2 linked regions of the Kluyveromyces lactis genome follow. The protein of the gene in region 2 purifies or fractionates together with the protein of the main gene of each other region. This does not show direct contact. Links are inferred from orthologs where the notes say so. Each region holds a gene or a part of one and is shown on either strand. Other genes may lie near its edges.

Region 1 (2,575 bases), on a different chromosome or scaffold from region 2:
GGTGCTAAGGTCGAAATCCCAGGTCGTGGTAAAGAAGACTTCAAAGCACATTTGACTTTTGTATGTGATGGTATCTTTTCTCGCTTTAGAAAAGAGCTCTCCCCAGATCATATCCCCTCTGTTGGATCCTCTTTCGTCGGTATGTCTTTGTTCCATGCAAACATTCCATCGAAGAACCATGGTCATGTTATTCTAGGTACTTCACATATGCCCGTGCTCGTATATCAAATCTCCTCTGAAGAAACAAGAATTCTATGTGCATACAATTCAGCAAGACTACCTAAAGATATAAAGTCGTGGTTGACTACTGATGTTAAACCATACTTACCTAAATCTTTGTTGCCATCGTTTGATAAAGCGGTTGAAGATGGTAAATTCAGATCAATGCCAAACTCTTACCTACCAGCAAAGCAAAATACTGTCACCGGATTATGCGTCATCGGAGATGCCTTGAATATGAGACATCCTTTGACTGGTGGTGGGATGGCTGTTGGCTTGAACGACGTTGCTCTACTAATCAAGACTGTTGGTGATTTAGATTTCTCAGACAGAGAGACTGTCCTTGATGAATTACTAGAATACCATTTCGAAAGAAAGCAATATGACAGTGTCATCAATGTACTATCCATCGCTTTATACTCATTGTTTGCTGCAGACAACAGAAACTTACAAGTATTACAAAGAGGTTGTTTCAAATATTTCGAAAGAGGTGGAGACTGTATTAGATTGCCAGTAAGTTTCTTGGCTGGTGTTCTTCCAAAACCGTTCTTGTTGACCAAGGTGTTTTTCTCAGTGGCATTGTACTCCATATATGTTAACTTCCAAGAAAGAGGCATTTTGGGATCCCCTCTGGCATTATTAGAGGCATTTGCTATCCTATTTACAGCTGCAAAAGTGTTTACTCCTTACTTGTTCAAAGAATTGATAGGTTAATGTGGTTGCTGAAATCCATCCGCCAAAGAAATTCAAAGATAGAAATATAAACTAATGATAATAATAGACTTCTGAGAGTAAAAAAGTAGCTTCAGATTATTTGATCCTACATTCTCTCATAATGACTTTTTTTTGCCTTCGCTTTTATCTATACATGTGATGAACGCATCTGACAGAGATGTTGAGGATACTAACTTATTCAATTTTAATATATACATGTGTGTAGTAAGCAACTCCTGGGCCACACCACCTGTAGTTTTTTACCGTAATAATCTCGCTTGTTCTATCCGCCTACAGACTCCTTCATGGGCTGTACTAATCCATGTTCTCTCGACAAAGCTGTCCTACGTTGCGCTTCTTCAAACCACTAACGGTGATTATTTGTATATATATGTTAGTTGTTACCCGCACATATTAGCTTATGGCTAAAGCCTCTGGAAAAAGTAATTATAACGGAGCTAACCTTTAAAAGTAGACAGAGATGTGGAGCAACGCTGAGTTTACACTCTTGATGAGACAGTTAAGAGCCGTATCACACCAGTGAAGCGTTGCATTTATCACGTTTATTTATTTTTTAGCATGGAGTCTTCGGGTTTTTTACGCTGGGGTAAAGTTTTCGCTGCAGGAGGCAGTATTATATTAACTGGTGTGCTTTTATTCAAATATACAACACCAACCGATGAGCAACTCCTTCAAGCATTATCACCGGAGTTGAGGCTACAGTATGAGAGAGAGAGGAATCTACGTCAAGCTGAGCAGCAAGAACTAATGAAAGTTGTACAGCAAACCATGAAGAGTAAAGATCCTATTTGGAAAACAGGAACGGTCGATTCACCATGGGAAAGAAATGGAACTCAAGCCACTAAGGACCAGTTCCAAAGATTGAAGGCAGATCAAGTTCAGAAGGAAGAGTTGGAACGGATCAGACAGGAATTGGATAAGATTAGAATGGAGAGTCTGGACCAAACAGATATGATCGTTTCCAAAAAGAGCTGGTGGAGTCTGTGGTAAATGCTGGTATTCTACGTTTCGATATCGGATTTCTCTCGAAACCGAGTTTAGAGCTCAATTTGCATTATTTTTTCCTCAAACTTTATGGCGGAAACCAATCCATCCACGTTGATGAATCGGTTATCTGAAAGTTACTTTACTAACCGCCTGTAGATATTATTTATCGTTGTTTTCGAAATCAATGGAGTGTATATAATTTTTCCATGAGTTTCGACTTTATTTATTCATATGATATTATTATAATCCACTATTAACTATTATGCTGCAAGGCCTATCAACATTAATATGACATTGGCGTTAAGATAGCGGGGTTATTTTCTGATTTATCATTGATGTGACCCCCAAGCACTGAAATTTGAATAACTGAACGCCTGGAACGCCTCAGAGATTCGATTCCCTGCTAGTTTGGTGAAAGAATTTTCACTTTCATTAGCGTTATTCAATTCATCTACAGCACTTACGATTTTCCTTACATTGGTCTCTATCACCAATCCACCTTGGATAATCTCTTCAAGTACACTTTCCAATGTTTGCCAATTGAAGATTAAGTCTAGCTCATTCACTTCTTCGAAACATTTATCCAATGCCTCTACAAACGTTTGAATCAAATCTAAGATTGCTAGTTCTGATT
Region 2 (2,429 bases):
ACAAGATCTAAGCGTTGAAGATCAAATGTCTCGTCGTTTTAATAAATGAAATAGCCGATTCGGTTATTACGCGTTATGACCCAAACTTTATAGAACTGGTCACTTCGTGGGAATCAAAATTGTAGTATTGCAAAAGGACAATTCCTTTTCCTCACATGTAACATTATACCACAATCATTATATTTTCTTTTCCAGCAAATATCAATATATCCAAACGCTTAATTACTATGAGAAATTACATAATACCATCAATACCAGAACATAATTAATAGTAACGATGCCAATACTTTGGTAAAACCAATTTTAAATGAAAGTATCAAAAATGAATGATGTAAATCAGATTGGTATATATAGATATATATACATAAGTTAGAATAATAAAGATATATTTGTCAGAGGTTGATATTCACAAAGTTTAGAGATAAATAAGTTGTTTCATTCCTAGAAGAAAATATGATAACGATAATAGCGTCTGCGTTAGCTGGCTATGCAAGTAACGGATATATTGAATTTGAAATCTTTTGCGATCATAATGTAATGTGTTTCCTTCTTCTTTCTCTTCGTCAGAGGGTCATGAGTAATTTTTTTGAATGATATTTTGAATAATTCAGTCAAGGATGAGATTATTTGGCAACTTCCAAGTTGTCCAATTCTTCCTTTTCCTTAACAAAGGCTTCAGCTTCCAACAAATAAGGAGTCAAGTATGGAATGTCATCTTCTGGTTTGGTCCACTTATCTTTTGGCAACAAATGGTGGGACAAAGATAGTTGGTGGGCATTGATGATTCTGTAAATTCTAGCGTAGGATTCATCGGCTGGTAGTCTTCTCAAAGCAGTTTGGGCAAGCTCGTTCTCTTCTTCAATCAAGTCATCGAATCTCAAACCCATCTTTCTGTAACCAGACAAGTTGATGAACTGGTGAGCGATTGGAACGACAACTTTAGCAAGAGCTGGGGTTCTTAAAATGTAGTCACCGATCTTAGCAATAGAAGTAAATGTTTGTGGCATTTGTAATGTGAAACGTGGTTGTTACTTGAGCGTTCGGCCTTCTAAGAATAAGTCAGAAGCTCTGAAACAAATCGGAAAGCTTCGTAAAGTAAATGGAACTTTGACAAAATGTTACCAATGTTTAGTGGTAATGTATTGAATGAAAAGTTTTGATAATCTGCAAAAAATTGTTTCTATCGAGCTAATATTATGTATTAAGCGTTAAAACCGAAAAACTCAAAAAAATCGAAGAACTGGTTAGTACTGACTAAGAAACAGGTACACCACATAATATATTTTAAATTATCGAAATTCATTGGTCAAATATCACGTGATCACTACTGAACCGAAGTGCGGACGCCCATCGTCTGTTCTGGAACTTCACTGGTGAGTTGCCTTCATGATAGCCCGTAACTAGTCGAAATCTATTGATGGTATTGCATTGCACAATTATTTACTATACGTGATTGTTTAGTAGCCAGTCCGCTTTGGAAATCAACCATCGAGCAATTTTACCAGTGAACCATGAATTCACATCATAAACATAAGAAAGTGTGTTAGCCACCTGGGGGCAGCCCATAGACTTATTTTTCACACTAAAGCTTATTCAATAGTGATATTCTGTTGGTTTAGCGCCTGCAGTGCTAGGGAAGGAACACTCTAATAGCAATTTGGTCACAGCCGATGGGTTTTCATTGAGGACTTTCAAAGTCTCATCCCACTTTACCAACACTAAACCCGCGTATCCAGTAGCATTGAAGCCAATACTAGGAGTTTCTGCAAATGCCTTCGATCTAGGCACCAAACATAGCCATTCTTTTGTCATCAGCACGTTATATGCCGGAATACTGGCCTCATCGTCATTTGATTTTTCTGCGTTACTTCCCTCCCAATCCTGGAACATAGATAAAGTTCTCTGCAACAATGATACAAATGTCATTGCTAGTAGATCTTCATCCACTTTTTCAGGATCCTCAGGTAATGGAACGGCGTAGTGTGCAAATGGGATTTTTGCATCTTGTAAAGGTTCAGTCTTAGCGTTCGGAATGAAATGTTCTTTACCACTACATAACTTATCCTGGTAAGGAACGAATTTATAAGGTAATGGAAGGATTTGAAGATGCTTGTGATCCTGAGAAGAACCACTGTTTGGGCCACAGTTATAGAAGGCCAAATGTCTCAACATCTCATCTTCGTCATCTAATTCTTGCAATAATTTATAAGTAGTTAACAAATCTTTGGGACTTAAAGGAGCTGTCTGCAACAAGTACTTTTTCGTTACTAGTATCAAATGGTTTGCGGCAACTGGGTATTTGTTCAGTAATAACTTATAATCACCGGCACAATCATCGAGAATTGTTAATTCAGGTTCAGGTTCTGCGAACGGATCTTTCTTTGGTATAGGGGCACCGTTTTCGTCGATAGCAATAGGTAACCTTTCCG

What was found. Proteins that work in one complex are often made in the same cells at the same time.
Region 1: the proteins of QCR7 (region 2) and CBP4 purify together in Saccharomyces cerevisiae (affinity purification with western blotting; 3 studies listed by BioGRID, with this or other methods). This does not show direct contact. The link is inferred for Kluyveromyces lactis from reciprocal best matches to the Saccharomyces cerevisiae genes QCR7 and CBP4.

The regions. Positions count from the first base shown.
Region 1 is NC_006042.1:1,404,528-1,407,102, forward strand, and holds CBP4 (Cbp4p), read left to right. Parts: upstream 1-1,512; coding exon 1,513-1,944; downstream 1,945-2,575. Other genes in the region: ERG1 (squalene monooxygenase), read left to right, coding at 1-933; APS3 (Aps3p), read right to left, coding at 2,271-2,575.
Region 2 is NC_006039.1:60,563-62,991, forward strand, and holds QCR7 (ubiquinol--cytochrome-c reductase subunit 7), read right to left. Parts: upstream 1,008-2,429; coding exon 624-1,007; downstream 1-623. Other genes in the region: KLLA0_C00803g (uncharacterized protein), read left to right, coding at 1-18; KLLA0_C00847g (uncharacterized protein), read right to left, coding at 1,594-2,429. UniProt on the Saccharomyces cerevisiae protein: Component of the ubiquinol-cytochrome c oxidoreductase, a multisubunit transmembrane complex that is part of the mitochondrial electron transport chain which drives oxidative phosphorylation.